Linked DNA regions of Stegostoma tigrinum. Each later gene encodes a partner of the first gene's protein in a complex. Links are inferred from orthologs where the notes say so. Each region holds a gene or a part of one and is shown on either strand. Other genes may lie near its edges.

Region 1 (3,916 bases):
AAACACTCATTGAAAGCTCATACAGACAGCAACTATGACATCCATTTTATGATTTATTATTGCCTTACAGCAATCAGTTAACTTAAACAAGCACAGCTGGTCCTCATGGAATGATACAGCAGAGAATAAGCCCTTCAGTCCATCGTACCTGTACTGGTTCTTTGAAAGAGTAATTCAATTGGTCCATATCCCCCTATCCTTTCCCCAGAGCTGTTAATTTGTTTTTCCTTCTTAAAATAATTATCCAATTCCTTTTTGAAAGTTATTCGTGTTCAGTTTACTCCAAACACCATTGCAGTCAATGACTTCAAGATCACAAAACCTTGATGCAAAACCCAGACCAAATGGCCCTCATTGTACCAATTATCTAAATCTCTTTGGAAAACCATCCTGTCTCTTATTGATTTGTCATTTTTTTTAATTATTCACAAATTTTACCTGATATTATTAGTTCTCTGGGCATTAGAACTTAACCCACAATAAGAGGCAAGATACTCAAGTGCTTCTATATCCAGATTCCAACGATTTACAGCTCATGTCTACATTACCATGTCATAAAGATCTGAAAAGTCAAAATCTAAATTTTTACAAAGAAATAAAAGCAGAAATTCCAAGAGAAACTCAGCAGATCTGGCACTATCTGTGGAGAGAACAGAAAGCTAATGTTTTGAGTCCAGTGACCCTTCTTCAGAACAGTATTGAAACATTAAATCTGCTTTCTCCCCACAGATGCTGCAAGACAATGCTGTATTTCTCCAGAAATTTCAGTTTTTGTTTGTTTCAGATCTCCAGGACTCATAGTTCTTTCCTTTTTTTAAACATTAATTTTGATACAAGTTGTTTCTATGGGATTGGAAAATGTCAAACAATCTGAAAATCACATCAACTGCTACGTGAACAGCAAGCTCCCACAAACAGCATGCTGATAAAGATTTGGTAATCAATTTTTGTTACATTTAGGGATAAATATTGGCCAGGATACCAGAGGTGACTCATCTATTCTTCAAGATAGTGACACAGGATACTTTACATCCTCCAAGGGAGCAGAAGGATTTCACTTTCACATCTCATCCAATGGCGACATCTCATAGTGCATTATTTCCCCATGAGGATCCCAGTTTACAAACCTAGTATCTGCTGGGCTCTTCCTGCCCCCAATTAATCATCTGATGGGCAAACAAACATCATCACCTTGAAAACTCTGAAACAAGGTGAGAAAGTTATTCCTGAATAGTTTCTCTTTTCCCAATAAAGAGGGTACATTTTGTCTCTTTTAGGGTGAATGCTACTTTATCGAATCTGAAAGTTTAAAAACTCAGTTTCAGGCTTTGAGAATCTTCAAGAATGGTCACAGATACAGCTTAAGACCCAAAAGTAGGCAGTTTACCAAAATAAAGCAGTGGTAAATGCCTCCCGTGACATAGTTGTTTTGTCCCTACCTCTGATGTAGGAGGCCTGGGTTCAAGTTTTGCCTGCTCCAGAGGTATCCATAGAATTCTTACAGAGTGGAAACAGGCCATTCGGCCCAACAAGTCCACACCGACCCTAGGAAGAGCATCCCACGCCGACCCGAATCCCTAACCTATCCCTGTAACGCCGCATTTCCCATGGCTAACGCATCTCATCTGCACATCCCTGGACATTATGGACAATTTAGCATGGCCAAACTGCACGTCTTTGGACTGTATAAATAACATCTCTAATATTTTGAAAATCTACAAGTAGCTTCCAGACTATGGAGAAAGGTGAAAACAATCAGGCTTCTGGCTCCTGTAAAACATTGACAGGAAACTGCACTCGACAAGTCAGTGTATGATTTGGTTGTGATGCACACCACAGTTGATTATCCTGTAAGACTGAATAACGGATTCGACCAACTTCAGAATGATAAAGAAAATGTGACAATGAGAACTCAATTTAACGCCGCCAAAAGTGAACGATTTACTTATGTTTGGGGCGGGACGTTGGTCTGGAGAACGGGGAGCGATACACACGTACTCTTGTACATATACTTACGTGAGTCTGAAACGCTTGTCAGCTCCCACAATCTCCGCCAGTTTCCTCCATCCCCGGTTGTTGGTCTTGTCCAGCAGATCGCTTATTTTCTTCAGCGTGTGTTCCTTCAGGCTGTTGATGTTTATCGGCGTGACCTGCGTGGACTCTGCCATTGCAGCGAGTCCTGTTTCCCAGTGGTGCTACTGCTGTCATTGAACAATACCAGAGCCTGGGTGACAGCCGTCTGCTCCTCTCTCCGTTCACCCACTCCCCGGGCAGAATCCAGCCAACAAAAACACGACCCCGCTCAACCGTCTAAAGATGACCTCAATCCAACGCCTTTCTAAACAGACATTTTTTTTTCCTTTAAAAGTGAAACGTTGAGATTTCAAACTTCTGGTTTCAAAAGAAATTTGAAGGGATTGTGGTCACACTGTTGCACGTCAAAAGTCAGACTCTCCGTTATAAAGCAGGAGTGCCCCCATCTCTAAAAATTGTCCCCGTTCTGTCTGGGATAACGTGGCGGTACACACAGAAAGAAACACAGTGAAACCCTCCAGTGAATGCACTTTATTCCAATCGTCTACAACACTTCCTGCTACTTTGGCGATAAACTACTGAAGCAGGAAGTAAAGGCACCTACACCCAAAAATGTGCAAAGGCCTCTGGGAAGTGTGGTTCATCGTGCGAAACTGACTCGGAAAAAGAAACGGTCTTCCAACAGAACTTACATTGATTCGGCTCCTTCAGTCACCCAGGCAGTTCCATTGTAACCAAGGTTGCTTGAGAAGGCGACGGGCAGTCACGGAAATAAAACCTTATAGTCCATGGGGTGTATAAGTAACACCTAGACTACGGTTAGGGAATGAGTTCCAATGCTTTGACCCAGCGAGAATGGTGGCACCGCAATATATGTATTCCTCAATCTGGATGGTGTGTGATAACAGCCTCTCGAGTCACGGACGTAAAGTTATAGAGTTGTACAGCATAGAAGCAGACCTTTCGGTCTAACGCGTCCATGCTAACCAGATATGGTAAATTAATCGAGTCCCATTTGCCAGCATTTGGCCCATATCCCTTTTAACCTTTCCTATTTATATACCCATCCATATGCCTTTTAAATGTTGTATTTGTACTAGCCTCCACCACTTCCTCTGTCAGCTCATTCCATATACTGACCACCGTCTGCTGAAAAGGTTGTCCCTTAGGCGCTTTTTAAATCTTTCCCCTCTCACCTTAAACCTATGCCCTCTAGTTCTGGACTCCCCTATCCTGGGGAAATGGCCTTGACTATTCATTCTATCCTCTTGATTTGATAAACCTCTATAAGGTCACCCCTCAGCCTCCAATGGTCCAGGGTCAAAAGCCCCAGCCTATTTAGCTTTGGCCTAAAGCTCAAACCTGCCATCCTGACAACATCCCTGTAAACCACATCAGTGCAGAATTGAAAAGGAACAGCCCGTGATGAGAGTGAGAATGATTAAGTTGTGACAAAGGCACCAGGCAAAGCAAAATGACAACACAACAAATATAGAAACAGAAATTAGGTCCAAGGAGATGGAGAGGATTGCGTTGCTTTTTAGAGGAGCCGGGAAGTCCTTATATATAAAAGGACTTGTCTTAGCCAACAGATCTTAGATCAAAGCTAATGTCACCTCCAAGGAATCACATTGATGTTTAAATAGTCTTCCTGCAAAGGAGGAAAAACAAACAAATGAAATTTTCCTCTTCAATACCAAACACGTAAGCATTTCAGTGTCTAGTGCACTTCCAGCTCAAAAGAGAAACTTCTTGGAAAGTTACTCAAGAAACAAAAACGGATGTTCAGATTCTTGAAGAAACAGAGATCAACACGAGGACACATGAAAACAAAATTCCTCAAAGGTGGAATCACAGGTAGACTGGGTGGTGAAAAAGGCAT
Region 2 (3,916 bases), on another chromosome or scaffold:
AGGTGCTGTGGGAGGATCTTTGGTGAATTTCTGCAGTGCATCTTGTAGATAGTACACACTGCTGCTACTGAGGGTTGGAGGGAGTGGATGCTTGTGGATGTGGTTCGTCTTGAATAGTGTGAAGCTTCTTGAGTGTTGTTGAGGCTGCACCCATCCAGGCAAGTGGGGAGTATTCCATCACACTCCTGACTTACACCTTGCAGATGGTGGGCAGGCTTTGGGGAGTCAAGATTTGTGTTATTTGTTGCTAGATTTCTAGCGTCTGACCTGCTCTTGTAGCCACTGTGTTTATGTGGTGAGTCCTGTGGAGCTTCTGGTCTATGATTACACCCAGGATGCTGATAGTGGGGGATTCTGTGAGGGTAACACCCTTGAATGTCAAGGGGCAGTGGTTAGATTGTCTCTTATTAGTGATGAGTTAGTCTGGCATTTGTATGATGCAAATGTCACTTGCCACTTGTCAACACAAGTCTGGATATTGTCCAGATCTCATTGCGTTTGGACATGGACTGTTTCAGTATCTGATGAATCATGAATGGTGCTGAACATTGCGTCAGGTGTGACCCCAACCACCGGAGAGTTTGCCCCCTGATACCCACTGATTGCAGTTTTGCCAGGGCTCCTTGATGCCACACTTGGTCAAATGCAGCCTTGATGTCAGGGGCTGTCACTCTCACCTCACCTCTGGGATTCAGCTCTTTTATCCATGTTTGAGCCAAGGCTGTAATGGGGTCAGGAGCTGAGTGGCCCTGGCAGAACCCAAACTGAGTGTCACTGTGCAGGTTATTACTGAGTAGGTGCTGCTTGGTAGCTCTGTTACTGACACCTTCCATCACTTTACTGATGGTCGAGAGGAGACTGATGGGGTAGTAATTGGCCGGGTTGGATTTGTCCTGCTTTTTGTGTACAGGACATACTTGAGCAAGTTTCCACACTGTCAGGTAGATACCCGTGTTGTAGCTGTTCAGGGACAGCTTGGCCAGGGGAGCGGCAAGTTCTGGAGCACAAGTCTTCAGTATTATTGCCGGAATGTTGTCAGGGCCTGTAGCCTTTGCAGCATCCAGTGTCTCCAACCGTTTCTTGATACCACATGGAGTGAATCGAAGACGGGTTTCTGTAATGCTGGGGACCACTGGAGGAGAGGTAGTAAAATGCCAGCAGACTTGCCCAGGGATGATTAGATGGGCTGAATATCCACATATGAAACTTTTTAATGCAACTGTTCTTAATCGCAATCACTTAAAGGTCCAATTTTACAACAGGGCAGAAAAGGGAATTTTTTTTCAGCCAATGAGAGTGTTTTGGGCGAAAAGAGACGTTGCAGTAAAAGCTGGGGCTGGGTTATCCAGCCATAATGTGAAGGTACAGTGAACTTCCGCATAATAGCTAATTCCTCTCAGTCAGAGTTTCGCTAAACGTGCTTTACGTCAGTGTTAGCGGAGGGACGGAAGTTGTAATTGGTTAGACTTTACAACCTTCAGAGAGTGTGTGTCTGCTCAGAAGGAAAACCAGGAAGAAAGTGTACAGTCCAACAATGCAAACATGTAAAAGTTGCTGCACGTAACTCCGGCCCGGCTCCGTGATCCCCGGCATTGGCACTACCCAGGGGAAGCCCCCACCCCCCTCACACCCGGGCACAGAGAAACTGCAGGGCTCCCCTCCTGGCACCCACACCCATGGAGGCTGCGCAGCTCACCGAGGACGAAATGGCTGAAATAAAAAAGGAAGTAAGTTTGTTGCCGCTGTTTGAGCGAAATGTGAAAGGGGAACGGGTTTTCTTTTGCCCCAGTCTCTGGTGCTCACCTGCCCCCTTACAGGGCAGGACAAGTGAGTAGGTCTGAGGCTAGTGGGCACACTGGGGCACCGAGCTGCTCTGCCCAGGATGGAAGCTGTACCTTGGACACTGCAGTGTGGGTACACCTGGGCACTGAGGCCGGTGTAACTGGGGCACGGGTACACCTGGGCACTGAGGCCGGTGTAACTAGGGCGCGGGTACACCTGGGCACTGAGGTTGGTGTAACTGGGGAGCAGGTACACCTGGGCACTGAGGTTGGTGTAACTGGGGCATGGGTACACCTGGGCACTGAGACCGGTGTAACTGGGGAGCGGGTACACCTGGGCACTGAGGTCGGTGTAACTGGGGCATGGGTACACCTGGGCACTGAGGTTGGTGTAACTGGGGAGCGGGTACACCTGGGCACTGAAGTCGGTGTAACTGGGGCGCAGGTACGCCTGGGCACTGAAGTCGGTGTAACTGGGGAGCGGGTACACCTGGGCACTGAGGTCGGTGTAACTGGGGAGCGGGTACACCTGGGCACTGAGGTTGGTGTAACTGGGGAGCAGGTACACCTGGACACTGAGGTAGGTGTAACTGGGGAGCGGGTACACCTGGGCACTGAGGTCGGTGTAACTGGGGAGCGGGTACACCTGGGCACTGAGGTCGGTGTAACTGGGGAGCGGGTACACCTGGGCACTGAGGTCGGTGTAACTGGGGAGCGGGTACACCTGGGCACTGAGGTCGGTGTAACTGGGGAGCAGGTACACCTGGGCACTGAGGTTGGTGTAACTGGGGCATGGGTACACCTGGGCACTGAGGTTGGTGTAACTGGGGAGCAGGTACACCTGGGCACTGAGGTCGGTGTAACTGGGGAGCGGGTACACCTGGGCACTGAGGTCGGTGTAACTGGGGCGCGGGTACACCTGGGCACTGAGGTCGGTGTAACTGGGGAGCGGGTACACCTGGGCACTGAGGTCGGTGTAACTGGGGAGCAGGTACACCTGGGCACTGAGGTCGGTGTAACTGGGGCATGGGTACACCTGGGCACTGAGGTTGGTGTAACTGGGGAGCGGGTACACCTGGGCACTGAAGTCGGTGTAACTGGGGCGCAGGTACGCCTGGGCACTGAGGTCGGTGTAACTGGGGAGCGGGTACACCTGGGCACTGAGGTCGGTGTAACTGGGGAGCGGGTACACCTGGGCACTGAGGTCGGTGTAACTGGGGAGCAGGTACACCTGGGCACTGAGGTTGGTGTAACTGGGGCATGGGTACACCTGGGCACTGAGGTTGGTGTAACTGGGGAGCGGGTACGCCTGGGCACTGAAGTCGGTGTAACTGGGGCGCAGGTACGCCTGGGCACTGAAGTCGGTGTAACTGGGGAGCGGGTACACCTGGGCACTGAGGTCGGTGTAACTGGGGAGCAGGTACACCTGGGCACTGAGGTCGGTGTAACTGGGGAGCGGGTACACCTGGGCACTGAGGTCGGTGTAACTGGGGAGCGGGTACACCTGGGCACTGAGGTCGGTGTAACTGGGGAGCAGGTACACCTGGGCACTGAGGTCGGTGTAACTGGGGAGCAGGTACACCTGGGCACTGAGGGCGGTGTAACTGGGGAGCGGGTACACCTGGATATGTACACCTGGGCACTAATGCTGGTGCAACTAGAGCAGCGTGGATTGGCTCACCTCGGCACAGGTACACCTGGGCAGTGGGGAAAGGCCCAGCTGAGAACTGGGAGGTATCTGATACATGGACAATGCAAGGGTGTAGCTTTTGGGCTGAGAGAGACTCCACAATGTGACTGAACTCAGTGTCACCTTTCTCTGATCAATGTTACGAAAGGTCTAATTGCTGACACTAAGTTCCTTCTGCACTGGGGTTTCAGCTTTATTTTATTTTGCAGTAATGTTTCTTGGAAACAGTTTTTTTTGGAAGTGTCACATGATGTTCAGCAGCGTCAGATCTTTTAGCTCTTGAATTAAACTAGCCTGGGTGTCTGTGGGTTAGAGGCACATTGACACTGTATGCAGAAATTGGAGTTAACACTGGCTGTGAAAGACCCCTCCCTGCAAGATGATAATCGAGAAGAGAACTTTAAAATCGAGAATGTATTTTAAAATTATGCATGCCATTTGCAAA

What was found.
Region 2: the proteins of malt1 (region 1) and bcl10 are in contact, whole or in part, in a cryo-EM structure (PDB 6GK2), measured with the Homo sapiens proteins. The link is inferred for Stegostoma tigrinum from reciprocal best matches to the Homo sapiens genes MALT1 and BCL10. Residues at the interface, in NP_006776.1 of Homo sapiens: Asp46, Gln47, Ala48, Pro49, Trp54, Arg55, Leu74, Glu75, Ser78, Leu79, Val81, Leu82, Glu83, Pro84, Glu85, Gly86, Pro88; in NP_003912.1 of Homo sapiens: Leu13, Lys17, Val83, Arg87, Asn93, Gln97, Thr100, Leu104, Arg107, Asn108, Leu111.

Annotation. Positions count from the first base shown.
Region 1 is NC_081354.1:151,657,733-151,661,648, forward strand, and holds the start of malt1 (mucosa-associated lymphoid tissue lymphoma translocation protein 1), read right to left. Parts: upstream 2,597-3,916; 5' UTR 2,169-2,596; coding exon 2,017-2,168; intron 1-2,016. UniProt on the Homo sapiens protein: Protease that enhances BCL10-induced activation: acts via formation of CBM complexes that channel adaptive and innate immune signaling downstream of CARD domain-containing proteins (CARD9, CARD11 and CARD14) to activate NF-kappa-B and MAP kinase p38 pathways which stimulate expression of genes encoding pro-inflammatory cytokines and chemokines.
Region 2 is NC_081361.1:99,959,971-99,963,886, reverse strand, and holds the start of bcl10 (B-cell lymphoma/leukemia 10), read left to right. Parts: upstream 1-1,412; 5' UTR 1,413-1,676; coding exon 1,677-1,727; intron 1,728-3,916. UniProt on the Homo sapiens protein: Plays a key role in both adaptive and innate immune signaling by bridging CARD domain-containing proteins to immune activation.